Linked DNA regions of Notamacropus eugenii. The protein of the gene in region 2 interacts with the protein of the main gene of each other region in a biochemical or structural test. Links are inferred from orthologs where the notes say so. Each region holds a gene or a part of one and is shown on either strand. Other genes may lie near its edges. The genes, in order: POLR2M, LRRK1, STUB1 and ITCH.

What was found.
Region 1: the proteins of LRRK1 (region 2) and POLR2M form a complex in vitro, tested with the Homo sapiens proteins (2 studies listed by BioGRID and IntAct, with this or other methods). The link is inferred for Notamacropus eugenii from reciprocal best matches to the Homo sapiens genes LRRK1 and POLR2M.
Region 3: the proteins of LRRK1 (region 2) and STUB1 form a complex in vitro, tested with the Homo sapiens proteins (2 studies listed by BioGRID and IntAct, with this or other methods). The link is inferred for Notamacropus eugenii from reciprocal best matches to the Homo sapiens genes LRRK1 and STUB1.
Region 4: the proteins of LRRK1 (region 2) and ITCH form a complex in vitro, tested with the Homo sapiens proteins (2 studies listed by BioGRID and IntAct, with this or other methods). The link is inferred for Notamacropus eugenii from reciprocal best matches to the Homo sapiens genes LRRK1 and ITCH.

What each region holds. Positions count from the first base shown.
Region 1 is NC_092872.1:138,862,552-138,870,262, forward strand, and holds the start of POLR2M (protein GRINL1A), read right to left. Parts: upstream 3,001-7,711; 5' UTR 2,911-3,000; intron 2,711-2,910; exon of another isoform or gene 2,296-2,710; 5' UTR 2,295-2,295; coding exon 2,194-2,294; intron 2,103-2,193; exon of another isoform or gene 1,121-2,102; coding exon of another isoform or gene 1,116-1,120; intron 1,082-1,115; exon of another isoform or gene 226-1,081; coding exon of another isoform or gene 161-225; intron 1-160.
Region 2 is NC_092872.1:153,611,257-153,619,015, reverse strand, and holds the start of LRRK1 (leucine-rich repeat serine/threonine-protein kinase 1), read left to right. Parts: upstream 1-4,747; 5' UTR 4,748-4,847; intron 4,848-7,759.
Region 3 is NC_092872.1:53,702,613-53,709,821, forward strand, and holds the start of STUB1 (E3 ubiquitin-protein ligase CHIP), read right to left. Parts: upstream 3,007-7,209; 5' UTR 2,514-3,006; coding exon 2,328-2,513; intron 1-2,327. Other genes in the region: uncharacterized protein, read left to right, coding at 3,340-3,467, 4,133-4,226, 5,264-5,483, 5,953-6,105, 6,338-6,513. UniProt on the Homo sapiens protein: E3 ubiquitin-protein ligase which targets misfolded chaperone substrates towards proteasomal degradation.
Region 4 is NC_092872.1:418,486,948-418,494,420, forward strand, and holds the start of ITCH (E3 ubiquitin-protein ligase Itchy homolog), read left to right. Parts: upstream 1-4,464; 5' UTR 4,465-4,483; coding exon 4,484-4,678; intron 4,679-7,473. UniProt on the Homo sapiens protein: Acts as an Acts as an E3 ubiquitin-protein ligase which accepts ubiquitin from an E2 ubiquitin-conjugating enzyme in the form of a thioester and then directly transfers the ubiquitin to targeted substrates.

The DNA.
Region 1 (7,711 bases), about 15 Mb from region 2:
AAGCTACCATGATTTTTATTTTTACATGCAGAACTGCATTAGTGTCACAGTGACTCTTTCCTGTATGGCACTGTGGCAGTAAAAGAACAATGTTCACTCAGTCACTCTACAGAACTGTTCTGGATTGGATACAAAGACAACGTGTTCAAAATGAACCCACCTGTTTCTGATGAATATGACTTTTTTTTTTTTTTTACAGGAGGAAGAGTGCAGACTTTCCTTCATTCAAAAGGCATTAGACAGCCAATTTGAACCTCCCCCTCTTTCCTATATGGCTGCATTTGAGTTCAGAAGACCTACTTTCTCTCTCTGTTACTTCTTACATTTAAATGAAAGAGTACCCGAAACAGCTAGGACTTAGAAAAGGTCAGAATGGTAAGCTATCAGAGGTCCTGGACTCAGAATCCTGTCAGAATTTGTGGTCAGTCAGGCCCAGTCCACCATCCCAGACTACTACTGAGCATCTAAGGGGAGCAACTCTATTAGCTGTGCCTAATCTGGAAGTGAATGTAGTGGAGCAAATGCTTTGTAAGATACTACATTAATTTTGAGCCCCCTTTCCCCAGGGACCAAATTGATAAGAGAAAATGTTTCCAGGGCCTGGGGAAAAACATCTGTAATTTCTATTCTTATTTCATCTTCCTCGTCAATATTCTTCTGTAAAAGCTAAAGAGAGAAAGAGAGAGAAAGACATAGGCATCCTTGCCTTACCTATGCCTTACACACTATGCTTTAATGAAGATATGAGAAGAGAAAAAGTAGGATTCCACAAACTCTCTCTCTCATGTGTATATATATATATACGCAGACACATATATAGTACGTATATACACACACACATATATTCTATAGTAGAATACATCTGCACATCCAAAGTCACATAAGTGAGTTAAAGGTCAAAATAGAGAATACAAGATCCTACTTAATGTGTATCATTGTTGGCTCTCCTTCCATGTAGGCCAAAATCATTTTTTGACTCTAGGCATAAAACAAGACAGGTTCGTAAGAGAAATTCACTCCTGTTACCAAGGAGGGCCAGCAAACAGTCCTAATCAAAGAAGCCTTCCCTAGAGATGACGAGGTCCCCCAGCTATCTACAGTGACGTTGTGCTTACTGCATCAGGTCCTGGAGCACGACACAGAGATAAGGTAACTTCCCTGGGGTCACAGAGCTGGTAAAAGTCTCAGAAGCAGCCAGCCAGGTCTTCCTTCCCCGGTCTGGCTCTCTAGCCAGAGTTTGAAGGTAAAAGGAACATCCTCCTTCTTTCCATTCTGCCTATCTAAATTCTACACGTCTTTTAAAGGTCACACGTACACCCATCTCCTCCAGGGTCCAAGACAAACTTGCTGCCCTTCCGAAGCTCTTTACAACCCGGCTCTACTGCTTTCCCAGCTTTACTGAACACTAGTTATCGGTCCAGCCACACCGGAAGCCCTTCCAGCACATTTTCCTGCCTCCTACTTCCACGCCTTTATACAGCACCCCCTCCAGGGACCCCTGGCCGCCTACACGACTCGGCTCCTTACCCTACTCCCTTAACTGGGCCCCTTCATTTCCCGTGTTTTTCCCAAATACTTCTATAGAACAAGAGCTCTTGGAGGAGAACTTTCACTTCTGTCAGTGCAAACGTTAGACCACGGCCAAACCTCCCCAGTCCTGGCTTCGGTCCGCTCTCACTGTCAGACAAAAGCACTGGACCGCACCGGCCTAAACTGGGCCTCCCGGCCCGAGGAACGACGTCAGGAGCTCCTGACAGCGAGCAGCTCGTTTGGAGAGCGCGTGCGGAGCGCTTCCGGAACGTTAACTGTCCGACCCACACTGGCGTTAGGCCTTCCGGTGTGGCGGGTCCCCCCCTCCCCATCCCCACCCCGCAGGCAGGTCACGAGCCTCCAGGGTTTCTGGCTAACACCTGCTTTAGTCTGGCGGAGTCATAACGACTTTAAATATCGTCTCACTGGATCCTCCGAGCGGGGAGGAAACTGAGGCAGAGCGGTTAAGTGACTGGCCCTGGGTCACCCAGCTAGAAAGCCTCTGGGACCCCCTTTGAACTCCTGCCACCGCGCCCCGTCGCTGCCCGTGGGAGGGCGATGGAGGGTGACCCGACTTCCGGAAGGGTCCGCAGAAGGCGGCCCCGCCCCCGCTCTCCCGGCCCCGCCCTCCGGTCTCCCCCGCTCTCGCGGCCCAGCACTCACTCGTTCCTCAGCAGCTTCTGCTGGCGCCCCAACATCTCCCGAAGCTCCCCCAGGGTCTTCTTCCGGAGCTCCTCGGTGCTCCCGGGCGGCGCCGACGACATCCTGCCGGAGACAACCTCAGCCAGGCGGACAGCCGCAGGCTCCCCGCTCGGCAACCCGAGCCCGCCGAAGCTACTGGTCCGAGGGCGACCACTCGCCCCGTTCACTGGGGGACGCCATCTTACCGGAACTAGTCATAGGATTCAACACCTGGAAACTTTATTTGTACTGGGGGCCGGGACACGGACAGAGCCGAACAGCCCACGACTCCTCCGGCGGGACAAGGGAAAGGGCGGGGAAGGGGAAGAGTGCGCAGGCGCAATGGGGATCACCCGAGCGCTGGAAACCTGCGGCCTCTGGGAGCGCTTTGAGATGGTGGCTTGGGAATTAAGGTCGCAGGTTGGGGCGGACAGGATTTAGGATGGCCGGATTGCATTTAGAGCCGGGAGGGGCCTTAGACGTCCTCTTGTGCAACCGCCTTTTTACAGATGAAACAAAACCACGTGCCCCAGAGAGGGAGAGTGAGCACGACCGGCCCAAAGTCACGTCCCGGCAAGGAATCGACTCAGTCCCCAAACTGCAAACCCGGTGTCGTTTCTTCCCCCCTCCCCCGCCCCCCCAGGGCACCTCGCGTCCGTATCCTTTTGCATCTCGGAGGACCTACAGAAGTACTCTTACCTGGTAGAGGAGGCCTCTGCTACCCTGGAGTAAACATGTGGCGCCAAATGCTGGCCCTAGAAATGCTCCATGGTATATGTCCTCCGTGCTCGTCATCTCCCTCCCATTGTGACAGGTGCATTACCCGCGCTGCTCTCCGCGTGGCTTGGTCCCAGGGTGACTGAGGCGGGAGGGGTGTAACAGGCCTCAGGCCCCGCGGGGGAGCCGGTCCCGAAGCACCTTGGACGAGTCTCGTGGAGATGGCAGGTCTCAGAGTGGGCCTCTCGGAGAGCACCCCTCGCCTGCGCGGGTAAAAGGAATCTCTTCCCCCGGGCGTTCTCTGCGCCATGAAATCACCAGGCCAGTCTCATTTAGATAGACCTTAGTGAACTTTGAAGCGCCGGCCTTGAACGACGCTTCGAGAGGCCGCCTCTCAACGTTGCCACTCTGCATTAAGGAACCTAAGGGAAAGGTAGGGTAAGTGACACATCTAGTAGGTGAGGAAACCCAGTTAATTTATTAAGCATCTGCTATGGGGGTGGGGGAGGGGATGAAGGAAGTCCCTGCTTTCTAGGAGCTCGCAACCTGATGGGGAAGGAAATATGCAAATGGGTATATACAAGATAAATAGGAAATAATCCAAAGAGGAAAGGCCCCGGTGTTTAGGGAGTTGAAGCAAAGCTTCCTGTAGAAGGTGCAGTTTTAACTGGGACTTGAAGGAAGCCAGAAGACAGAGATGAGGAGGGACAGCATTCCAGGCGTTGGGGACAGCTAGTGAAAATGCCTGGAACTAGGAAATAGCAATGAAGCTAGGTGTACAGAGTACACAGCAGGGAGTAAGGTGTAAGAAGATTGAAACGATAAGCCATTGTGGAGGACTTTGCCCATCAAACAGGGCGTTTTCTATGGGAAAAGAGGAGAGGAAATAAGCATTTATATAGCACCTATTCCATGCCAGATACCACACTAAAGGTGTTTTACAAGTATTATTTAATCCTCACCACAGTCTTGCCAAGTAAACGTTATTATTCTCATTTTAAGTTGGGGAAACCGAGACTAAGTGACTTGTCCACAGCTAGGAAGTATCTGAGGTAGTGTGTGAATCCACAGGTCTTCCTGACCCCAGGTCCAGCTTTCTATCCACAGCTGCCACCTTGTTGCCTCATTTTATTTGATGATATTTGATCCTGGAGGTGAAAAGGAACACCTGGAGATGATTGACTGGGGAGGGGGAAAGCATAATCAGAACTCTACAAAAATCAATTTGACAACTGAATCAAATCTCCTGATTTCAAGCCCAGTGAGGCTGTGAAAACCATTTGTATAGATCAGTAATATTCCCTTCATACCACATCACACCTATCAGATTGGCTAGCATGACAAAACAGGAAAATGACACTTGTTGGAGAAGATGTGGGAGAGTTGGAACACTAATTCATTGTTGGTGGAACTGTGAGCTGATCCAACCATTCTGGAAAGCAATTTGGAACTATACCCATAAGGCTATGAAAATGTGCATTCCCTTTGACCCACTTCTAGGGCTATATCCCAAAGGGAATCATAAAAATGGGAAAAGACCCACATGTACAAAAATATTTGTAGCAGCTCTTTTTGTGGTGGCCAAGAACTGGAAATTGAGGGAATGCCCATCAGTTGGGGAATGGCTAAGCAAGTTGTGGTATATGAATGTAATGGAATACTCTTGTGCTATAAGAAGTGACAAACAGGCAGGCTTCAGAACTACCTGGATAGACTTATATGAACTGATGCTGAGTGAAGTGAGCAAAACCAAGAAGTACATGCCCATCATTTTGGGGCCTTCCTCTGGATTTCTTAACATTAGATGAATACTTATACAGAGTAGAGGCTATCTATCCATATAATGGAAACAACACTAGAATAGCAGTCAAGTTAGATGTGGGATTGTAATCCCACCTCTGATATCATCCCATTCTGACAATGGACAGCACATAAACAACGAATGAAATTCCATTTAATGAATGTAGATTGTCTACTACATGCAAGGCACTGACTGTGCTAGGAATACAAATTCTGAAAAAAATTTATCTGATCTTAGCTATACACTTGAGGGAGGGGATGGGGGTACTATAAATGCACAAACAATTAAATAAGTATTCTGTGGAAAGAAACAACCTTAACTATGAAGGACCAGGGAAAACTTAATGAAAAAGATAATACCTAAACTGAGCCTTACAGAAGTGCAAGGATACCAGGAGGAATAGGTAAGAAAGGAGGGCTTTCCAGCCACAGGCTAATCCAAATGCATGAAGAAATATAAGATAGAATGACAGGTAAGGGGAACCTAATAATCTAGGTTGGCTGGAATGTTAAGGGGAGAGATAAGGTTGGGGGAGAAAAGGACTAAAAAGATGAACTGAAGCCAAATTTAAATGCCAGGCTAAGAAGTTTACAATATATCTTTGGGGAATATTAGAGTATTAGTTAAGAACAGAGATGGCCAGACTTTTCACTTAGGAAAATTATTTTGGCAACTGTATGGAAGATAGTTTAGAGGGGGACCAATTAAAAGCAAGGAAGCCAATTCAGTGGGCCATTGTAATTATCCACCAAGAGCTCTTGAACTAGATTGATAGTTACATGGAGAGAAAGGAAGAGATTTGAGAGGTATTATGGAAAGGAATGCAACTGGTTAAAATGGGAGAATAGTTAAAGGGAATCATCGAAGATGACTGAGTTTTACACGCATAGTGACAGAGAGGAGGGTAGTGCCCTATAAATAAATAGAAATGTTTGGATTAAGGCTCTGGGTTTCTAGGAACTCAGAGACCAAGAGGTAAGTCTTTTCTTCATGTGCAAAATATATTGTGGATATACTTCATCCCTAGCCAACTTAGCATGAGGATAAAAAGCGGTTCTGAATGTGGGAGTTCAGTTCAGACACCAAGGTCAGTAAGAAACAACCAAAAGGTAGAGGAAAAATGGTAATTATGTATATCCCAAGAATGATATTACTGATATGCATCTTAACTGTTATGTTTCTAGATGTTATTAATTTTGGTAAAGACATTAATTTGTTTCAAAAATATTTTGTAAAAAAGCAATTAAAACAATCACTGATAACTGAAATTTTCAGCAGTTGTATCTCAGTACAGTTGTCTTAAATTTTTATAGTCATTTTAAAAAGTAAAATAATATCTTATCATGGTAGATAATCATAACCAGTTTGAAGAAAAAAGTGTACTAGAGCAGCTGAAACTGGTACAAACAATGGCAGTAGAGATAGCGTCAGTGATAGAAATATAGAAACACAAAGTCGAAATTGAGAAAATATGATCTATTTTATTTATCGTTGGAATTCACAAGAACTATTATTAATGAAGAAAGATAGCTATGTTTACTTTGCATGATGCTTTAGCAACTGAGAGCACAAAGTCTAATAAACTGAAGTGGAATATCCAAAGTATATATGAAGAGTTCATAGTTCATTCTGGAAAACAGAATTTTCCAGAGAAAATTATATGCTTTTAATAAATAACAAAACAAAAAAATCCCAAAAGCATGTCTGCAACATCGGAAGGATTTCAGAGTTGCTAAGTATAAAAAAGTCTCGTTCAATAGGAAAAACAGTAATGCTACTTAACATCTATTGATATAAACCCACAAATAATTTGATAGAAAGGTGAATTGGCCATATGGCTGAAGATCTTTGTGTTCATTAAACTGAAACTAAAATGTTCTTAGTTTTCATTTTAAGTGAACAGTGCAACAGATACAGTCTATTTATTCAATTACATATGTATGCTATGTTATTGAAACTGAGGTTGGAGATTTCTGACTTTTAAAAATCTATTGATAGCAAGCTTACATCAAGATATTTTCACTATAATGCATGGAATTGTTTTTACTGAAAACGACAAAATGTAGGAGGATTGTATTGGATTCTGCATGAAAAGGTTACAATCAATGTCTGGATGATTAAAATATGGCCTCTTGGGGAATTTGAACACATTGCATGCTTCACAAATAATGACTTGTATCAGGGATTCAAGTTGTTACAAGTGTAACGGCATTCACAAAGCTGACCTTCTTGCTTCTGGCCAACCCCTTGGGTATGACAACTCTGAGTGGGCTTTGAACTTGGAAAATGATAAAACTCCCTGACTGCTCCCTGCTGCCATACTTGATTCAGCACTTTTGTACCCTTTGAGATGATGAAGCATTTATTGGCTACTGAACAGGAAGAACTGAAGACTGTAACTTTTGACCTTCTTCTCTTCTAGACACTTTATCCCACAAATCTCCTCAAAACAGTCCTAGAAGCCTTTGCATAGCCCTTCTCAAGTATCCCACTGCCTAAACATCTATAGCTGGTAGATTCAGGGGCTGCAACTCTATTGCAACACAGAGCTAAATAAAAGATGAAAAGATCTGCAAAGAATTTTATAAGAAGCACTTTTCACTACTGAGAAAAATGGAGCTATCACACTTAAACTCTGAAATGCTTACAGAGGTACATATACCATAAAGAGAGCAAAAAGAAAATTATCTGTATAAAATCATATATAGAGAGGCAATCTGTGCTGAAGTCAACACACTTCTGAGGGCTTTGAAGAATTTATTCACAAGATATCCAAAGGAGCAAAACATACAAAAGACATAGAGAGAAAAATCATAACTTATAAAAAGCCCCCCAAAATGGTAATATAGAGAACAAGTATAAAATCGTTTTTTTCTCCATTTTCCAATCTGTATAATTTTTATGACAAAAACTTACACACACATCAAGGCATCTGCAGTGGAGGGTATCAGTAGGAAACAGGTTTTTATAAGCAATATTCCA
Region 2 (7,759 bases):
TCATGGGGGACAGTGAAGAAGCTCAGGGCATTGTTAAAAAAAAATGGCATTTCCAAAAACAATGACATCTGACCCATTCTTGAAAAGCACTTGGTCAAATTTCTTGTCTCTGTTAAGAACTTGGCAAAAAAAAATCTTCTCTAGACCTAGAGTGGAGAAACCCTATAATTTATAGTGATGGGTCTTGTCAAAAACCACTTACCCTACCCCCACTCCCACTAAGACCAGCCCACCTGAACTCTATGGTTCATCCTAGTCTTATTAGTCTTATATTAAGCACTATTGGATATGGCCATTCAGCCAGAGGTTAGGTAGAAAATACACAAATTGAAAGACATGAATTAATGTAAACTTTGACTCTACTTTGAATTGAAGACTATAACTCTGTGTCAAGTTCCTTCATTAAAAAGCTGTTAATATCATTAAAGGACAGAATGAACAGTAATTAATTTGGCAGGCAGTTATCTTCATTCATAGTACGATGTGTCTACCTGACTCAGTTTAAATTTAAGTTCCCAAAATAACACTCATTCAGTGGCCACCAAAACATACTATACACAACATATATATTCTGCCAAGCACTTTCTTTTTTTGGGAAAAAAGAGACTTGCACTGCATTCACCACAAAGATTTCCTCTATCTTATAAAGTCTTGCAGCTTGGTATATGTTTAGCTTTTAAGCATAACACGGGAGAATTTCACAGCAGTTTCACAGACAGCTCTGTATATCTATACCTAGGATATTAGAGCCAGAACATTAATTAATCAACATTTATTAAGTGCCTATTATGTGTCAGGTACTCTGCTAAGCACTAGGCATTAACAAGCTACTTAAAGTGAGAACTCTTTTTCCCCCCACAAACTGCAATTCTGCAGCAGGTAGTAAAGCTCTGTAGTTATCTCTAAGACCTTCTTTTGCTCTCTGTCTTCCCTTTGGAGCACTGATCATAAATAATAAAACCTATTTGTTGTTGTTTTTAACAACACCTTAAAGTGCATTCTTTATAACAGTCCTGTGAAGTAGGCAGCATAACTACTATATCCCCATTTTTCAGGTAAGGGAACTGAGGCTCACAAAATGTCAGTGAATTACCCACAGTCACACAGCTAGGAGGGAGCTTGAACTCAAACCCAGATTTTCCAGCATCAAGTCCCCAGGCTCTTATCACTAGGCTATGATGCTTATTGATCCAAATTGCTTAGTAAGACTTATACACTACTGGAAAGATTGGTATCACCTAGCCTTATTTTAGAAGTTTGCTACTCTCATATTGATTTCTAATCGATTCAACAAATAACAATATGGACTGATTGGAGGCAAGAGGTCTCCTACTACACCTGAGTGGTATAGGAATATTGCTTTAAAAAAAGTTGTGGATTTTGTCTCCTTTTTATATAACAAAAACTTAAGATGTTCTGTAATTCCACACTTGGGAATGCTATAAATTTTCCTATTTGACACTGAAATTTCAAAGCTTATTTTAAAAAAAATTCTTAAGGCATACTTTTAGTACCACCTAACTGGTATTTTTTTCTAGATGTGGAAAATGATGCTTATATTTGAGATTGGGGTGGGGGAGTAGTATAATAAAGTGAAACTTCAAAAATAAAAATCAACATGTGTATATGGAAAATCATGTATATGACATAGAATTGCTGTCCTTTTAGAAAATGCCATATGTAATTCATTGTTTTTTTTCTTATCAGTTAATATTCAACATATTGCCTTATTATTTTGTTAAATCAGGGTTTGACTTTACACACTGAACTTTCTGAATTTTTTCTTACATAACTTTAGACACTAACTTTAAAAATAATCCCTCAGAGGGTTCCTCTTCTTTCATTGCACAGTTATGCTTTTCATATGAAATGCTACTTAAATTGTTTAAATATTTATAATTAGTATACAGTATATCCTATTTTTTATAGCTGAAAGTACATGAAATGGTATGTTTAAACTTCTTGTATATACTGTATTTAGAAATGGAAATCTATGTAACATTAGGTTTTCGATTCTTTAAAGATTACTTTTCTGTGGTGTGGTTTTAAAAAAAAACCACTATAATCCTGTGAATTCTAATTCCACTGCAGATGAAGTTTAAAGCAATGCAACAACACTTTTAAAACAGAATAAACTTTTGGGACAAAACGGAATGATTTGTTTTTCTTATCAACAAAAATTCATACCCATTACATGTGGATGTTCTTTTTGTGTTCACCTGGACCTAGCAGACAAATGAAATACCTTAATTCAACTTTTTAAGAAAAAATCTACTTTGCTGAGAAATTAAATTTACATTTACATTTGTCCGGATTTACAACGTTAGACAAGAGTTCTAATCGCCAAAATAAGATTAGCTATCTTTTTATCTGGATGTTTGCATCTCGACTTTCTCAATTTTAAATCTGTTTTGAAACCTCAGCAAGTAATTCATAGCTAAGAGATGAAAGTTAAAGTTGGAATAAGGGCATCAGTGGCATTAAGTAGTAATCAACATTTTTAGGTTAATCTAATCTCTTGCATTTGAAGTTTTAAATGCAGCTCCTTCTGTATTTCAGTAAAATGCTATTTTTTTTTTTAAAAAAAGAGAAGGCTAAAATGTTTGTCATCAGATCATAGACTCTGGATCTGAGAAGCCAATTGCTTCCTTTTACAGATGAGACACTGAAGATGGGAGAGGCGATGTGACTTGAAATTTTATGATCACAGCATCTTTTTCACTGTACCACAGAGGCAGAGGGGGGAATAGTTTTGCCTTATTCAAGAAATATGTATTTGAAAATGTTACACTCTTTTTTTTCCCCAAGTGTTAGGTGAAGAGAAGTTTATTAAGAAAACAAATTTGGAAATTCTTTTGAATATATGTGTTAAATTGAATACTATGATTTGACCAACTCTGAACAGGGGAATTGTAGTTTCCAGTGCCCTCCTGTTTTGTTATGAGGCTTTTGTCAACCTAGTCATTTCATTCCCCTCTCTCCCCTCTCCAAAAATTGAAAAAAATCCTGAATTTTCAGCCTGACCCAATCTTACTACGTCCGCTGCCATGCATTTCCTAAAGAAGTCATTAGGTGGCATATGATGGTGTGGTTGCTAGTGGAATATTAAGAAGGAAGTTAAGAATAAATATTGTAATGAATCATAACGTCTGTACTGTGGGGTGGATTTGTTTGCTATCTTCATTCTTTCTTTCTTTAACCAGAACAGACAAAAACCCCATCGGGACATTACTGGGAAGTGGTAATACTATGCCCCTTTGCTATTATAAGGGTCTGTGTTATGAGTTGTTGTCCAATTATGAAAAGAGATTTGCCCCAATATGACTGCAGTCTTGTCAGGTCTCCAGTTATAGCTCTGCCTCACAGGGCGAGGCTTCCTAGCAGAGGTTCAGTCTGTTTGTAGGCCCGGAAAAGAGTTAAGAAATAACTAAGTCCAGGACATAGGGATGAGAGAGATATGTGAACCATGCAGATAAGTGCCTGTAGCCTTAATACACACTTAAAAGACTTAGGAAATATTTTTCCTAATGACAATCTCATGAAATACCACACTTGAAGCTTGTAACTATTATTAGACCCATTTTACAGATGAGGAAACTGGGGTTGAAAGATTCAATTTCTTTCTTGGCCTTATAGGGGCAGATAGATTTGTATAGTACATAGAATGGTAGGTCAGGAGTCAGGGAAGACGAGTTCAAATTCTGCCTCAAACACTTGGTAGCTTCATGACTACAACAAATCACTAAAACTATAAAATGGATAAAATAAAAGCAGTTGTTGAGGATCAAATAAAATATTTGTAAGACACAGCCCAGAACCTGGCACTTAGTAGGAGCTTTATAAATGCTTATTCCCTTCCCTTCATTAGAGTTAGTGACAAACCGGATTCAAATTCAGGTCTTTCTGACTCCAAGCCCAGAGCCTGCCACCACTTGCTCATAGTCACAGATCACCTAAAGGAATAAAGACATATTTTGAAGGCTTTAGCGGTCCAATTTGACTGGAGCATACAGTAATAATGGAAGGGGGAAGTCATCTAAGTTTAGACTGAAAAAAATAGGCAGGTGTCAGAACAGGGGAAGGACGTTACTTGACAAATTCGATTTTCACATCAGTTTCTGCTTCACTGAATGGAGAATATGGACAAGGGGAAGCTGCAAATTGTTTCTATATACAGATACATTAAATAAACGTTAGTAGGATGAGGCAGGGTTGCGTGGTGGATACAGCACACTGACTTCGGGGCCCGAAAGACTTCAAGTCCTGACTGACAGATACTGTGTCACCTTGGGGAAGGGAGTAACCTTCCCTGGACCTCAGTTTCCTCTTCTGTAAAAGCAGGGGACAGACTCCGAGGACCTTGATTCAAGTCTCCTAATTTCCATGGGCCTCAGTTTCCACATCTGTAAAATCGAGGGAGGACTCGAGAGCCTCTGCACTCTGCCCCGGGGCCGTGGTAATTTCTTTGGGTCGGAACTCCTCCTCCCCCGGCCACTGCTGCATTTCCTTCCAGGGTTCGATGTGGCCGCAGTAACCAGCCCCCCAACTTGACTCCTCCGCGGCCGGCCGCTCCCCAGCCCCCCGCCCGCCTCTCCCTTGGGCTGGCTGGTTACGGAGGAAGGGAGGTCCCGGCCGTGGCCCAGACCGTGACCGCGACCGGGGCCCAGGCGGAGCGCGGGAAGCGGGGGGAGGAAGGGGGGCGCTGCTCCGCTCCGGCCACGCCCTCCCCGGGGGACTCCCGCCCACGCCTCCCGCTTCCCTCCCTCCCCACGGAGGGAGCGGCAGTCGCGCTGAGCCCCGATTCCACCTGGCAGCGCGGGGGCCCCGGACCCCTCCCAGAGGAGCAGGTAAGCTTCTCCTCGGCCCCCTCCCCTATCTTGCTTTTTCCTCCTCCGGGACGCATCCACGCAGTTTGCGAGTGGGGCGGCAGGGCAGAGGCCACGCCAGGGGCTGGCCTCCTCGGGTCGGCCACCTCTGGAGGGCGGCCCGGCTGCCTCCGGAGCCCAGAGGACGTGGATCTTGGCCGGGGTGGGGGTGGGTGGGGGCGGGAACTTCCCCAGGTGCTGCTCACCTGGGCTCGGCCCGGGACAGAGCCGGCTGCCCGCGGCGCTGCGGGATACTCCGAAACCCAAACTTGCCTTCTGCTGCCGGGATTTCTCTGCAGTGACTCACATCCCCTGGGAGCTGCCTGCGAAGGGGACGGAATGTGGGTCCGGCTGGGGGGAGGGGGCTTGGGCGTCCGAACTTGGGGTTTGGGGAGAAGCAAGACCGGGGAACCGAGAAGGAAATCGGAGGACCCCGTCCAGTAGAGATAGGCACCAACTTCCTACCCTTGGGGACAAGTCCCTCCTGCAGTCCGCGATCCGTCCGGAGCTTAAACAGTGCCTGACACGCAGAGTGGGCGCCAAATAAATGTGTTTTACTTATTACTATCAGCCAAATCCTATTCTGCGTGCGCTTCCTTTTGCCAGTCTTTTAAAGGATGCCTGTTAAGGGGGTTATTTCCCCCAGAGACTCTTTTGGAGCCTGATCTGAGATGTCTAGAAACAAAAGCACCTTGCTTTTTTTTAAAACCATATGTAAGATTTTTTTATTCCTCTCTTCTGTATCTGTCAGGACATGCTGGAGGAGAAAAAAAATCACTTCCTAGGAAAAAAACCAACAAAAACAAGTAATGACACTCTTGCTGAAGTAGGATTTCAAATGATCCTTCAGAACCTAGACTTGGTTTGATAAGCTGCCGTGGTATTTGTGTAAGACGTTAAAAGAGGCCATTGTGATTAAGTAGCATTGTTTGAAACAGCAAAAGAAAAAAAGGAAGGACATGGGGTGTTAAAGAACTGACATCTAAACTTTCCCTTTGCTTTCAGACAAAATGCTTGGCCTTAGGCCTCCTTTCTTTTCTTTTTTAACATTTGGTTGTCAAGTCCTCGTATTTGGAGAAAAAGGGCATTTGGAGTTTAATTTCACTAAGTATGCATGGAAAGCAAAATATTGTCTAGTTGATAGGAATGTACTTAAATAAAATAAACTTTCAGGTCCTCCCACCTCAGTTAAACATTTTAGGAAAATTTGAGTTTTCTATTACCCTGATTCCTCCCATGGGGGTTTGGGGAAGATTAATGAGAATACCATTTACCTCTGTAATACCTGGGATATTGTTTTTGGCCAAAAACTCTTGAAGAAACTTACACTAACTTTGCCTGGAAGTTCAAGAATTTACTTCAGCAGGTGAACAGGGATACCTCAGGACATGCCCTCTTTATCTGCCAGTCGTGATTTGAAGGCCTTGGAAAACTGTGCTTGAAGGGACAGGGTAACAAATACTTTCCTAAGTCTGTGTGGCATTGTGATCCCTTTTTTCTGTGATTGTCTCTCACCAGCAGGCCTTTTCGCTGGATACTCTCTGTATCTCTACCTGTTGGGTTTAGTAAAAAGTCAGTCTTGAATTACTGAAATCTTTAAAGGCCCAATCGAGGTACTACTTCCTCTATATTGGCTGATCCACTGTCCTCAGCCTCACTCCCAAACTACCAGCTAAACTGATATATCTCCTCCTCAAATTTTCTTAGAGCACTTTGTCCTGAACTTTTATTGTTAATCACATTCTGCCTTCTGTCAGTTAATTTGTACATTTTTGCACATTTGTATAGCTGGAGAATTGATGTTGCCACCAAAAAGTCAGCACCCTGCTGCTTTGCTGATACACTTCTCCAAACTTAGGCTGGTTCTTACACAAAAGACCTAGGAGCTACCCTGTAAGTCTTTGCTGCCAGGTAGAATCCTCTAGAGCTTTACTTTATGAATTGCAAAGACTTTTTGAACCCAGTCACCTCTAGGCTGCAATTAGGCCCAGCCTTAGGACTTTCTGGTTTTACTTTCACCCTGACACACCCCTTTGAAGTAAATGGACTTCATTACTATCTTACTTTTGTGGGAGGGAGATGTGAGATCACAAAGAGAATATTGCTTTTATTCGGAGCTTTCGGAATCTTTGTAAGATGAAATGTTATGGGATACAGGCCTTTTTATTTTGAAAGATACATTTATATAGGTAGAAAAAGTTTGGAAACCACCCTTTGGCTGAAAAATGGAAAATTTACACTATTTACCTCTTCTAAGCTAATTTCATAATTTAGAAATTTGATTATACCAGGAACCTAACTAAAGATGAGGGTAACTTTGAGGAAGCTAAGATTTTATAGCAAACGTTGGCTGAGAAAGGAAAATGTGCACTATTTGCCACCTCTGACAGAAGATAATTTCCCAGTTTGGAGATTTGATTATGTCAGGAGTCCAAAGATAAGGGGATCTGTGAGGAAGCAGAGATCAGTTTGAGGGCAGAGATTAAGCAAAACTTAAGTTGCTACACTTTGTAACTTTTATTTAGCAAATGGACAAAATTGTGACTATAATGCTGCTCTGGTAGCAAAATATTATTTTGGTAAAAAGATTTTCTTAGAGAAACTGAAAGCAAAAAGGGGAACAGCATGTGTTGGGGGGTTTTAGCAGAAGCTAAGATTTCAAGTTTGCAGAAAAAAGTAAAAATGTGGAAAAACATTATTAGACATAGGAAACTTTAAAAAATTTTAGACAGTTGCCTAGCATTATATCATTTTTAGTGTTGGGTACATATAGTAAATATTTAATAACTCATTATATTTGAAGGCAGTTATTTACAATAGTTTTAGTCCCATTCTACGTCTCTTCCCCAAACCCAACCCCAGTGAATTTATTTTTTTAAGATTAGTTTTTGTAG
Region 3 (7,209 bases), about 100 Mb from region 2:
TGGGCACTGTAACTACTGATCGATTATTGCTACAAACAGGCAAGAGCCCAAGCTGTCACTGCTGGAACAAAGTCACAAGAACTAGACTGAGAAAAAGGAGTCTGACCGGTGTGACTGTGTGTGAGCCTTGTGATACTGGAGGTGGTGAGGGGAAGCCTAGTGTCTTCAGAGGCCGTGTCCTATCACTGTTCTCTGCTCCACCATCCTTCCACGGTCAGCTCAGAAACATCTTCCCTTGATATATGGAAGAGCACAACGGGATGGAACCCCTAAAGTCCCATAGCCCTGCCTTGTTCTGTCCTGCCCAGTTGTCTGCAGGACAAATACAATGGAAAGGAGACACTGTCCTAGGTGCAGGGGATGTAAAACTCAGTGCCTGCCTAGCTCATTCCCCCTCTGAGACCCTTTCTTCCATCTCAGTCTTTGATATCAAGCAAGAGGAAAACCTTTGGCTTGACTTGTTTTACAGGAAAGGAGATTTGGTTCCTAGAGCTCACCACAGGAAAAAAAAGGCTATCCCTGAGCTGTCACCTCAGGGGCTCCATCCTCCAAACCATCTACAGAGTCACCTGAGCAGGTATCCGGAGAAAACCATCCTTAGTCCTGGTTAGGTTTTTTTTAGATCTGGGTGATATCTGGCAGTCTGTTCTCAAGTGAGGTCTCTACCCTTCTCAGCTTTTCAGGGACCTAGGTTGGTGAATGGGTCCCTTCCTAAACTCAAGTTCACCTATGAGTCAACTGAGCCATAAGCCATAGGCATGAAGCCACCTCCACAGTCCTGAAAAGCACGCTCAGGAAGCCAGGCAGGTGACAAATACAAGGTGCTACATTAAGATAAATAAATAGAGATAAACAGAAAGCCTCATCAGCTAAGCAGCTAAATAGCCTGAGTCACCAAATGTTCTACCTCACACATTCTTCCTCTTGGAATTTAGAATCAGGAAGGACTTTAAGAGGTAATTTTACATTCCTTCATTTACACTCCATACACTGAGTCCCACAACAGAGAAGGGATTTTTAGATGAAGAAACTGTGTCCCAGAGAAGTGACATGACTTGCTCAAGATCATACAAATAGTAAGAAACAAAGCTGACTTATGAACTCAGGACTTTCTCCTCCTGATTCCACACTCCCTCCAACATGCCCTGATGCCCCAACTAAGCCATCCAGCTATCAGACATTTAGGAGTCATTCCTTTGCTGAAGGAGCTTCAGAGACCAGCCTTTCATTGGTCCCGAGACCACTAGGCTACTCTTCCTTTAACCCCAAACACACAGAACTCTGGGATTCTTTTTTTCTCCCTAGACTATCCTCTCTAGATTCCTCCTCCCATTTTGTCTTTTCAGATCCTCCTTTCCCCCCCTTCTTTAACACCCTCATTCCTTATTTTCTCCTTCCCTCCTCGGATACTATCCACTGTTCCGGGCACGGAAACCAGAAAGCCTCTAACTCTACAAGGGAAAGGGAAGCAGCCAGCCGGTCCCTAGAAACTGTTAAGACATAGCCCCTTTCTCCAACCCTTTATCATTATGTGACCCAACATGGCACATTCTCAAAACAAACTGGTTCAGAATCCCCAAGGAAAGGCACTTTGCTCCGATATTTATTCTTCCATAGCCCCTAGAACAAAGCTCTGCAATTCAACAAATGATTTTTTAGTTTTTCCAGTAAATAAGATACTGTTGTAAAAAGTAATTGCACCAGTACAAGTACCTATCACTTTAAAATGTTCCTAGAAGGAAAGACCAATAAAAATGGGTTCCTCTGCCTAATCCAGAACGTTACATTTGTAATTACATTTAAGGAAAGGTTCGTGTTAACTCAGAAAAAAAATTCACTCGCGCCACTCTCATCTCAGCACCTTCGGGTGGCACTCCTTGGCATTCTGGAACAAGACTTCCAAGCTCTGCATTCAGCAAAGACAGTCTATCTCAAGCCCCAGAAATGAATTACTGGCTTTGTAAGGCTCGGCCCTGACCCCTGCCCAGCTGCAGACCACAGAGAAGCGGGGCTTAGGTTCCCTCTGATGAATGACCGCACACACGACACTCCCCCGCGCCCGGCCGGCCTGAGCTCGGCTCTGCAAGGACAGAAGCGCCTTTCCCTCTGCCGCGGCTCCCCGCCCCGATCCTGGGCCGCCGCGGCTCCCAGCCCCGATCCTGGGCCCCGAGACCCTCACCTGGGACAAAGGCATCCCGGGCCATTTCTTTGTGAGAGGCTTCGGAACTCGGCGGGGACCCTGGGAGCGCAGGCCACCCCCTCCCCCCGAGCTCGCGCTCCCCTTCTGGCCCGCGCCCCTTCCCCGGCCCCCGGTCCTCCGCACTCACGATGGCTTTGCTGTAACAGGCCGCGGCCTCGGGGTACTTGCGGCCCACAAAGAGCCGGTTCCCCTGCTCCTTCAGCTCCTGGGCGCTGGGGCTCTTCTCGGGGCTGCCCGCGCCGCCGCCCCCTGAGCCCAGGCGGGCGCCGCCGCCGCCGCCGCCCCCGCCCTCCTTCTCTTCTTTCCCCTTCATGGCTCCGGCCCGGCCCCGGCCTCGGCCTCTACCCCGGCCCGGCCCCGTGATCCGGTCACGGCCCCCGGCCCCGGGGGTGCGCAATACTCAGGTATGACCCCGCCCTGGCCCGGGCGCTGCCCACAGAGAGCGCCCGCGGCTCGGCTCGGACCCCCGAGCTCCGGTCCCAAAAAGCCCCGAATTCTTCCCTGCGGAGACCCAGCGCCGTCACCCAACCGGAAGTTCCGGCCGGGAAAGCAAGGAGGCCGGGAGAGCAGGGGGGTGGGGCCGGAAGAGAAGGGATGAGCCTGTGGAGAAGGACGCCGGAAAAGCGAGGAGATGGGGCGGGGGAAAGGCCGAGCCCACGAGGGGGCGGGACCAGCGGGAGACGGCGCACCGAAAGAAAGAGGTGGGGCTAGGCCCGAAGCCAGCTGGGTCCATCAGCACGTAAGAGCAACACTGGAGGGCTTGGGCCTCGCACCTCGGCCGAGCTCGGCAGGAAAGGCGGGGACCCGAGACGAGGCGGACGCACGGCTTTTATGCTTTCGGGGTGGAGGGCGGGGCCGAGGCGGAGCGCGCTTGGGAAAGAGGCGGGGCTGGGAGCGAGAGCCCGCCTCTAAAGGAGTGGGATTGGTCGGGGGCAAATAGGAGGGTGGAGAGAAGGCTCGCCGGCGCAGAGCGTGTCTGCGCGTGCGCGGGCGGAGGCGGCGGGCTTGCGTGGGGAAGGGAGGGCCGGTTTCCCTTCTCTCCTATCTCTTCCCACCCGAGTTAGGGTCCTGGAAGGCTGGTCGCGGTTCGGAGAGGCCCCCAGTCCTCAGGAGGTGCCCGGCTTCCTGGGGCTGGGGCCATGGGCCCGAGCGGGGGCCTGTATGGCTGTGACGACCCCCGGTGCTGGGCGGCAGTGCTGGGCTGCTACAAGGAGGTGGTCAGAGCCAAAGCGGGCAAGGCCCGCAAGCTTGCGGCTTTGGACGCGTGGTGAGCCCGCCTCCTCCAGAGCCCGCACCTCGGCCCCACTTCCGCAGGGGTCTGGAGCGGGGTGGGCAGAGGGAGGGGAGCAGCGCCCCGCGGCGGGCCCTAGCAGGGGGAGACTGCCCTGTGCCCAGCACCGCGCCCGCACACAGGAGGCGCGCGATAGACGAGACTGACCCGCACGGGGTGGGGGAGCCGGGGCCACACGTGGAAGGACTCATGGGTGGGTGTTGGGGTGCTCGTGTGACGGACAGCCGCACGTAGTGGGCCTCCCAGTCGGGACCGCTCAAGGCCAGGGAGAGTGGGGGTAAGAGCTGCCTTCACAAGCCTTCCCCCCGGGTTCTTGGTGGATGGCCAGACAGGGTCCGAGGCCCGGCTGCCTCTCTTCTCTTCTCCCTGAGAACCTGGACCCTAGGAAAATCTATTTCCCTTGTTCAAAGAGGCCCTGGTATCTGAGGGGCATCGGGCTAGTCCCTAAAGGGTCCAGGACACAGGAACCCCATCCGTGTGCGGGACTGTCTGGCACCTTGCCCTAAGGCAGCTTAGTTCCCCCCCCCCCCTTCCAGATCCCAGGGTAGACTTTGGGGAGTGCTGTCCCCATGGAACAGTGACCTGCCCTGACCCTTCCCTGTCACCACTACATACATGTAGTATGTGGATGCCCGTTTCAGGTATCAGGAGGAGCTGCCAGTTTCCATAAGGGAGAGAAAGGAGAAATACCTAACTCGAGATGAATTGGTGAAGCTGATGGAATGGAAGCTGGCGGTAAGCTCCCCATCTGAATAAGGTGGTGTCTGTAGGGATGGACATAGATCCAGGCCCAACAGGGAAGGCACAAAAGAAATTCTCAGGCCCATTCGGAGGGGTGACCTCACATAGCCCTTCCTTCAGACTCTAAACCTGTCCCTGTCCTCATCTCCCAAAACTGCTCCTTCCCTCTCCCCAAATTAAGTGATCTTGTATTTATTTTATGTCTATCTCTTCTGTTCTCTCTCTCTCCATCTCCTTACGTGTATGTATACATGAGTATGTGTGTGTATATACACACATACACACGTATGTTTTCTCCCTCAAGGAAATGTAAGCTCCTTGAAGGCGGTAACTTTCCGTTGTCTTTGTACCCACAGTGCCTCAAAAATAGCAGGCACTTAATAAATGCCCATTGATTGATTGATATCCAGTGAGTGATGGATAGGTAGGTGACTGTATCCTTAACTCTCCTTCCTAGGTTCTAGAATGTGCGAAATGGAATACCAGTGTTAGAGGGATCTTGGAGATTATGGTCCAACCCCTTCACTTCACAGAGGCAGAAACAAGCCCAGCAAAGGGGAAGTGACTTATCCAAACTCACATACTGAGTTAGTGCCAGATTTATAACTAGGTTTCAAGTCTTCTAATTCCCACCCTAATGAAGTCAAACCCCAGCCAAAAGTTCTGTTTAGTTTTTGGACTTAAAGTTTATAAAACCTTCTCTGTTCACATCCCCATCTTTGTAAGACATAGGATTTCTTCTTCAAGTTGGGGTAAAGGCTGCAATTGACAGGAATTGTATTGATAGGAATAGTATTTCCATTGAAAGAAGACTCAGGGTTCTAAGGAGAAGAGATTGGAGTGTGTTAATTGGCCTAGAACCTGCAGTCAGAAGATCTGGTCATAAATCTCAGTTCTGCCACTTATTAGCTGTGTGACAACCTCCCAGGACATCCGGATTGTGAGGCTGAACAGAGGGTCACTAAGAATTCAATTGTATATTCTCACCCTGTTCTTACCCTCCTGCCCTGTCCTTCCCCATACATGCTTAGAGGGGCAAGTTCAGACCACGACTGCAGCATTTGGTGGCCACTAACCCGGAAGAGATGGTGAAGCGGTGCACCACAGCAGCCTTCTCTCTATTGCCCAATGTGGAAGCTGCCATCACAGAGCTGAGCCAGCTGAAGGCCGTGGGACCAGCTACTGCCTCTGGTGAGGGAAGAGGAGGAGGAGAGGAGCCAAGGGTGGATCCCAGCAGACCGGTGACACTTGGTAACCTCTGGACCAAGACTGAGCCCAGGCTCTGCTGGTCCCTCAGGGGATGTTCTGAGGTGGAGAGGGAAACCTGGGTGTGTTATCTCCAACATCCTAAGGTCTGACTCTTCAACTCAGTGGGTGGAAAAGTATGTGTGACCTGAAATGACTGATGCTGATAGAGTGCAAGACACTCATTCCTTCCTTGGCTCTTCTGGAGGTTTGGGAGTATCCCCTCCCTCACCTGCTGCCTTGAAACACTAGTACTAGGCCATTTTCATCAGTCCAGTTCAACATTTTTCTAACCAATGGCCAAATCTGACCTCGTGCTAAGAGAGGACAAATCAGCCCCAGCAGAAGTGGTAACTTAGGGGTTCAGGGGAACTTGCTTAAGACGAGGTGACATTCAGGCCTTAGGTTCCATGGAATGTATGGATGGTCCTGGAGGATCCCCTGCCTTCCCATAACCCAGCTATACTTCTTTCAGCAATTTTGGCTGCAGGTGCCCCAGAGACAATAGCATTCATGGCAGATGAGGCAGTGGCTGCAGTCCCTGACCTTCCTGTGCTCCAGTATACTCTCAAACATTATATTTTGTATCTGGACAAGATCTGGGCCTGTGCTAAGAGACTGAACCAAGGTAAGGGTTAACTGCTGGAGGGATGTGTGTATCACAGTAGTCTCAGTCTCTGACAGACTGCCTAGATATCTCTGATGCCAGAAGGGTTTGTGGAATGATTAGGTGTAAATGTAGTGGGTAAAGGAGCTTCAGGCCTCTGGGCGGGGTAGGCCTCTAGCAGGAAGGCTCAGTTGCTTTGGGTAGGTCCAGAGTTGCATGTTCATTTTCCTTCCTCCTTGGGCTTTTCTCATAGTTGATCCTTTATCAGAATGGACTCCTCACCAGATAGAAATGTGCCTCTGGACCTGGACTGTGGCCCAAAAACTGTGTCCCACAGTCCTGCCCTCCTTTTCTTGGATGGCCCCCAAAGCCAGGGAAGATGCTGAAGATGTCAGACCTTCCAAGAAACGAAAAGCTAGTATTCACTGATCTGTATACACTATCTGTATACACTCCACCCAAGAGAAATGCATCAAGTCACAGTAACCTGCAGCCAGGCTCCTATCTACTGATATCCATGGAGGCCTCAGGGCCGAGGGTAGCCACTGTCATCCATTAAAATTGCCTTCCATCCCAACCTCATCTGGACCTCACTTCCTTAGATACCCTCCCAGGCTAGCACTGAGCTGGGAGTTAGGAAGATGGAGTGGATAGCTCCAATCCCATCACTAAGTTACCCTTGGGGAAGTCACTTAAACTGTCTTTGCAGTTCTAGTCACTTCTCCCTTTGCGTTCAATTCCTCCAAGGCTCAGGTATGTCCAGTCCTGTCTTCTCTTGTCCTATATGTGGTGTAGGGGGATGCCCCACCCCCCTTAGAGAGTTTAATAGTGTTAACTAAATAGAGCAGTGATTCTCACAGAACTAGGTGTGTGTGGAAATCAGAAGGAACTTAGTTTTCCAGAGTAGAAACACCTCCCACTGGAGCTTTCCTGAATTCAGAAACTAGAGAAGGCTGTAGGTGCTTAAAAGCTGGTAGGGCCCAGCTTCAGCCTCATGGGATTTCAGGGAATGAATGGGGTGGGGGTGGGGGGCCCAGTGGCTCAGCAGCTCTCAGCTAACTGCTCTGGCAGGAGGTGTAAACGGCTTCCTAATTGCCTTCACACATGAGCCTAAATTCGGAGGTG
Region 4 (7,473 bases), about 260 Mb from region 2:
GAGGAGTGAGGATAAACTGGGCAGAAGCTTGGGTTGCAGTAGAAAAGCAAGTAGAAAAGCAAGGAAAAGACAAGAGACCTGGTTTCTTTCCAAGCTCTGGTATTTACTGCACAGCCTAAGCTCAGTCATTTCCTTTCTCTGTGTCTCAGTGTCCTCTCTTGTTAAATGAAATTAATAACATTCGGACAACCTCACAGGGTCTGTGAGGATCCAATGTAAAGTACTGTATAAATGTCAACAGTTATTATAAATATGGCCAGACCTACTCTCAGACCCTCTTCTTGCCTATGCCTGGGCAAAGATTTGCTGGTCTTCGCAGGACAGCTTTAAGGGCCATGGTGCCTCAGAAATACCGTCCATTCACCAACATATTTGCCATTTACTAAATACCTGAGGTATACCTCTTTCTAGCACTGAGGTAGATACAAAGTATGGATAAAAATATTTTCTTTTTTGTTTTCCATAATGCCAAAGTGCTAGTGACCTTAAGTGGCTGCTTTGTGAAGTCAAGAGAAGATCTATTAAATCTTGGAGATGGAAAGGACCTCAGATATCATCGAGTTCAACCTATACCTGTATCCTCTATACATTTGTTAAATGTGATTATTCAGTCTCTTCTTGAATACCTCTGACAAAGAAGAAATAATTATTTCCCAAGACAGCTCATTACATTTTTGAATATCATTGATTGTTAGAGAGTCCTTATGTTAGAGCTTATTCTGCCTTTTCTCAGCTTTCATCCATTGCTACTGTTTCAGCCTTCTGGGTATAAACAGAAAAATTCTAAACTCTCTTCTATATAACATCTCTTTCAATACTTGTTAACACTGTTAAAATAATTAGCTTGTTTTAAACTTACAAGCAATCACAAAGTACTCTTCTCTGAGACTTAAGGGACTTTATTTTAAATGAAAAGTTACAAGTTTCAATCACAATCTCTTAGAGCAGCCCCAGTTACAAAAATTCCTAATATTTAGGCAGAGATGGAGCTCTGCTTCAATTTACATTTATATCTATTTCTAGTTAACCTTTGGCCTCTTTGGAGGTAGGGGCAAAATTCATGTTACTGGAAATATTTGGGCTGAAAAAAAAATAAGACTATATTATAGTGTCTGTGGATAGAGAGGCACCAGGAGAGGAATTTGGGGAGAATACTTTTTTTCCTTCAGTACTTCCCTCAGTCCTTGAGTAGGTGGGGCACACTGTAGAGTCAGCCTGTAGAACCAATAACCCTCCTGGATATCTTTCTTCTCTGTCCTTTTGTTGGTTAGTTGCTTCCTATAATATCAGTTCTTTCATGCCTGCCTCTGTATGACTCTTTCTTCCTCTTTTCTTAAAATTTAGAATTTTTATTCTGAGATAGCTCCTTTTATACAATTTCTTTAGGACATAACCAAGTCTCAAACAATGCCTTGGATTGACTCAAGAAGGTGTAAATGCCCAGTTTACACCAGGGTCTTATTAATTCATTCTAACAAAAGTAATTATTTTTAAATGGTTGGATAATCAAAGGATTTCCACTCTTACTTTTGAAAGGTAGCATCAGAAAAACAAAACAAAACATTGGATTTGGAGTCAAAGAACTCAGGGTTAGACTTCTGGTTTTACTATCATGCTGTTTGTACAATATCAGCAAGTCATGTTTCACCTCTGTTTTTTTTCTTCTGTAAAATGACATCAGACTAGATGACCGCCAAAGTTCCTTCTGGCTTTATAGCCTATGGCTCAATTCCCTCTTCCCCTATTCTACTCTTATCTGGCTAAACTTCGCCCTCTAAATGATTGGAGAAGGGTATGGGACAGTAGCAGCTTCTAATTTCTTGGCTCTTACTGATTGTATGTGTTATAAAGTCTTCATGCAGGAAGGTGGAGAGTTGCTTTAGTCGCTACTGAGTCTTGTGGCATAGATCTTTGAACTCTGATCAGAGGTTTTCCTGTGCTAGCCCCAAAGGCCTCTGAACCCAGTATGTTGCATATGAATGGAAGGGAGGACTCTTTGCCTTTCCAGGCTGGACAGCCTGAGCCCCTCAGCTATATTCCTTCCCATAGCTTATATTCTTTGGGACCCAGGATGGTACAGTGGCATGAGCCCCAAAGACCCAGGTTCTAGTTCAAGCTCTGCCTTTAACTATGTGACCTCTGGCAAATCATTTTCCCTCTTTTGGACTCAGTTTTCCCATCAGGAAACTGAGTAAATACTGAGATTGGATTTGACAATCTGAAGTCCCTTCTAATGCTATGATCATGTCTTGTAGCACCTTGTAAAGCTGTGTATAGAGTAAGAGGTTTCTTCATATCACTTTAATACTGTGCCTTGGCTCCTAGAAGGACTTCAGGCTTACTTGTCCTGTTTTAGTTAGTCTTATGTAAACACACGCTGAAATTTTTCAGGTTATATGGCAAGAGAAGGTTATCCCCTAGAAGTTCAAGGATGCCTCCATTGTCCATCTCTATAAAGGTAAAGAAAATAGATCGTCCTGAGATAATCACGGGGTGAGGGATGGGGGTGGGAGGGTGGGGGTGTGTCTCTCTCTTAGTCACTGCTGGCAAGATTTTTATTAGAGTCCTCCTTAATAGGCTGATCCTTCACCTGGAAGATGGTCATCTAACTGTGAGCCAGCGTGGCTTCATAAAGGGCCAAAGCACAGTTGTTATGGTGTTTGCTGCCTGACAACTCCAGGAGAAATGCCAGGAGCAGAACAGAGGTCTATACACAATATTTATAGATCTGACCAAGGCCTTTGACACTGTCAGTCGTGAGGGCTTATGGAAAATTACGTCAAAATTTGGTTGCCCAGAGAAGTTCATCAGTATTGTATGTCAATTTCATGATGGCATGTGTGCCCAGGTTCTGGATAGTGGACAATGCTCTCGTGCCTTGTCAGCCACCAATGGAGTGAAACAGGGTGGTGTGCTTGCTCCCATGCTTTTTAGCATGGTGTTTTCAGCCATGTTGTCAAATGCTTTCAATGAAGCTGAACATGGCATCAAGGTCAGCTACCATACAGATGGTAAATTGTTCAATTTGAAAAGGCTACAATTCAAGACCAAGGAGGAGGGAGTGTTGGTGCATGATTTTCTGTTTGGAGATGATTGTGCACTCAATGCAGCCTCTGAAGCTGAGATGCAACAAGGTATGGGTCAATTCTCTGCTGCCTGTGCTAATTTGGGCCTAATAATTAACACCAAGAAAACACAGGTGTTCCACACATGGAACCATCAGTTACAACAAATGGAGAAGTTTTGAATGCCATGGATAAGTTCACTCACTTTGGTAGTGTACTTTCCAGGGATATACACATTGACAATGAGGTTGACACACTCATTACTAGAGCTAGCTCAGTGTTTGGGAGGCTCCTAAGAAAACTATGGCAGAGAAGGGGTATTAGATTGACTACCAAACTGAAGTCTACAGAGCCGTTGTGTTGACCTCATTGTTGTATGCCTGTGAAACTTGGACAGTCTACCAGTGCCATGCCAGGAAACCAAATCGTCTCCATTTGAACTGTTTTAGGAAGATTCTGAAGATAGGTAAGGTACCCCGACGCTGAGGTCCTTGCTTGAACTAAATTGCAGGGCATTCAAAATATGCTTCAGAGAGCGCAACTTTCATGGGCTGGCCATGGTTGTTTCAATGCAAAATGTATGCTTGCCAAAAAGACCATTTTATGGAGAACTTGTATAGGGCAGATGGTCACATGGTGGTCGGAAGAAGTGATACAAGGACACTCTCAAGGTCTCTCTCAAGAACTTTGGATTTGATTGTGCAACATGGCACAGGACCGCTCAGCATGCTGTGCCCACATCAGAAAAAGTTCTGTGCTCTATAAGCAAAGCAGAACTGAAACAGCACAAAGGAAACGGAGGATGCACAAGTTTGAAGTATCCACCCTAAATGTTCACATCTGTGACCAGTCTGTGGTGAAGCATTCCGACCTCGTATTGATCTGATCAGTCATAGTCGGACATACTGAAACTGGACTTTATCATGGTGATGTCATTTTGGTCTTCGAGAATGAAGGACAACCACCATGTAAACATAGGTACCTCTTTCCTTTATTTGCCAAACGGTAGGGCCAGGGTTATTATCCAGATTGGTGTGAGGCAGACAGGGTACAGGGGCTGGAGCTGGTACTAGGACTGGCGGTGTTACCCAGCACTGCTGTGAGACAGGAAGGACAGGAGTTATCATGCCCATTTTACAGAAGCAGACGTCATTTGTTCTGGCAAATGCCACGACTTGCTCAGGGTCCCACAACACTTGCCGGCGTCAGAACTCAAACCCGGGACTTCCGACTCTTACGTCTAACGATGCAACCCGTGCCCATCTCACACTCAGAACTTCCAGAGAAGAATCGCCGAGACCCGAATCACCTGCCCTTGAAGTATCTAGGGGAAGCCAGCTGCTTCAGGATTTTTCCCCCTCCCCTTTGCCCCGCCCCCAAACCTGGCACCTTTCGCTGGGAAATGGGCGGGGCTCGCGATGCCTACTAGGACTTGTAGTCCCGGCCGCTCCCTGGCTCCGCCACCTCGGAGCGGCCGCGCCTGCGCACTGGGTGCCGACTTTGGCTGCTCGCCGTGGTTGGAGCTCGGGAGTGGCTGCCATCTTAGCCGCGGGACTGAGGAGCTGCTGCTGCCGCCGCCGCTGCCGCCTCCTCCTCCTCTTCCCCCCAGACCGGTAAACACCTGCGGGAGGGCGGCTGGTTTAGAAGCGGGGCGAGGGGGAGATCTCGGGGAGGACGGACGGAGCCGTGCCCCGCAGGGAGGGAGGGAGGGGTGGCCCCTTGGTTTCTGTGAGCCCCCTCACTGCCGGGCCCGGTCCGCGGGAGGGGAGAGGGACAAGTGGGGCCGCCGGGCGCGGGGGAGGGGGCCGGCACGAGCCCGGAGCGGCGGCGGCACGCTGGCTTGTGGGGCTGGCGAGGCGGAGGGGCTTGGAGTCCCCCGCCTCCCGGGCCCAGAAGTTGTGTGTGGAGGAGGCGGAGAGGGGAGAACGAGGGTGGCGGGGCGCTTCTCCCCCCTCGCTGCCGAGCCCAGCCCTGCTCCGCCCCGCTCGGCTCTGCTCCGTGCCGGCCCCGGCTAGCTAGTGACTGGGCGCGAGCCGCAGGCACCCTGCTGCCGGGGTTCCGCGGGGGGAGGGGAGCGTGGAGGCGGAGGCTTCCCCGCCCCCCGCTGGCACCTGGGCCGGGCCGGGGCGGGGGGCGGCTGCAGCCCCCTGGGACCGAAGGCGTCCGGAGCGAGGGCGAGCGGGCGAACATTGCCCACTTGCTGTCCCCGCCCCCTTCCTGCGGCTTCATTTCCAGGACGTCTCACTCTAGCGCTGCTCTGGCTTTCCCGAGTCCACAGCTTTCACCTGGTTCTTTCAAATCGCACCCGCCAGAAAGAGAGGGAGCGACTGACGAACCCTCCTCCTTCCCATTGTCCTCGCTGGCTGTTCGGTTCCCTTGCCTTTCTCCCCCGGGGCTCTGGTGCCTTCTGTCTGCGCCCGCCCCCTTGCCCTCAGTGCAGTGTTTATTTTCTTGGGTCATTGAAGCTGAGATGACTTTTAAAAAAAAAGCAACCGACCAACACAGGTGGAAATGAAAGCCCGACAGTATGATGATGGTGGTGGTGGTGGTGTGTGGGGAAGGGGGTGTAACTTGTTTTTAAGACGAGTATTTTGACGTGAGTACTTAAAGAGTAGATAAAAACACCAGCTCTGTAGGGTGGCGATAGAGGTTGGGTCTAAAATTAGTCATCTTGCGTGTAAACAGGTGAGCTTAAGCTCTCAAAAAGGCACATTTCTTAAAGGAGAGTTAAAGTTGATTCAGAACAAAGACAACTTTGTTTTAGTATACCTCTTAATTTTTTCCCATACTTCTTGCCTTCTCATAGGATGGGTTTCTGTTATAGGTTTTATGTGTATATGTATGTTGTATGATTTTTGTTGTAGAATTTTTTCCCCCCTCATGTTGTAGAATAGCCAACTGCCACTGCCTTCTTGCTTTTAAACTATGGAGAAAGGCTATATTTACAAGACAATGAATTAAGTAGTGCATTTCTATTACTTTCTTTCACTTTCTAAACCAGCTATGGGTATTTAGAGATTTATTTTCTAAGAACCTTTTCACCACAGAAATGAACTGATTTGAGATCTGGTGAAATCCTATCCTGTTTCTGAGTTTCAGTTAATGTAAAGGACTCAATGGCAAATACAGTGGCTTCAGAGACAGTGACTATAAGGCCCAAATAATTACATCTGTATATTTTCAGCTATGCAGAAAAAAAGTTTACTGTTGCCAAGTGATTGCCCTGTCAGATTGGTCAAAGGGGCTCATTAAGAAGGCTGAATAACACAGTCTATTATATTTGAGTTCAGTTCCTAGGGAGCCATTCCTTAATATTTATGTGAAACACCACCAATTAGTACCAGGTCAGTTTGGGTTTTGAGAAGAAGTAGGAGTTTAGATTGAATGGTATGAAGAGCTAGTGCTCTATTCCAGGGACTAAAAAGTATCTATCTAACTTCCTTCCAGTCAAGCAATTAGCAAGAATTTATTAAGCTTCTGCTACATGCTAACCTATGTCTACCAAAGAAATAAAGACAGAAATGAAAAAGTCCTTGTTCTCAAGGATTTTTTAGTCTATCACAGGAGACATGTACACATTTAGGTATGTACCAGAAAATATTCATATGAGTCTTTGGTGTCAAAGCTTTGGGCATTCTTTCCAAAAATGCAGATTGCAACCTATTCATACCTACCCATTTTTTGGTGAGGTCCATGTTGTCCTAAAAGTTCTTCAGAGAGGAACTACTCAATGGGGAGGAGATCATCCTTTTCTCTATTTGCCTTGATATCAGCAGGGTACCAGTGGAACAGTGTAGCTGTCCACTGTAATCCTTTGCTTTTACTATATGACAAACCATCTTTTTCTCTCATGTGTTTTTTGGGTAGCATTCTTCACTCCTGTTCTTTGAAGTTCTTTGTTGGTTATGTGTTGTAATCTGTTTGTATAGACTACGCTTTTCTGTTACCCTTTCTATGATACTCATCCTTTCTTTAGAGGCAGTAATACTCTACATCTTGTTGCTAATGTAGAACACTGGTAAAATGATAGTATTGAAAAAAACGTGCCTTTGCTTTCATAGGAAACTTGGGGTCAGTAAAAGACCTTTGCAGCTTTCTGAAAACAATCCTCCTGTTCATTTCTGGTCATGTTCCTTCATATCTATCTGTATTGTGTGTCCTAGATATACAGAGTGTTGGAGAAGTTCTGTGGGTGTCCATCAAAATCCATGTTGAAATTGGAACAATAGACATTTTCATCCACTTGGTCTGTCTTGTTAGTTTGGGTAGGAATTTTTTCACACGCACACACGCACACACCCACACACATGCTTTTGTCTTGTAATTGTCTCCATCCTTTACTTTAGTTAGCTTCCTGTCATTTGAGTTTCAATTTTATTTCTGTAATTTGCATCTCTACCCTGGTATT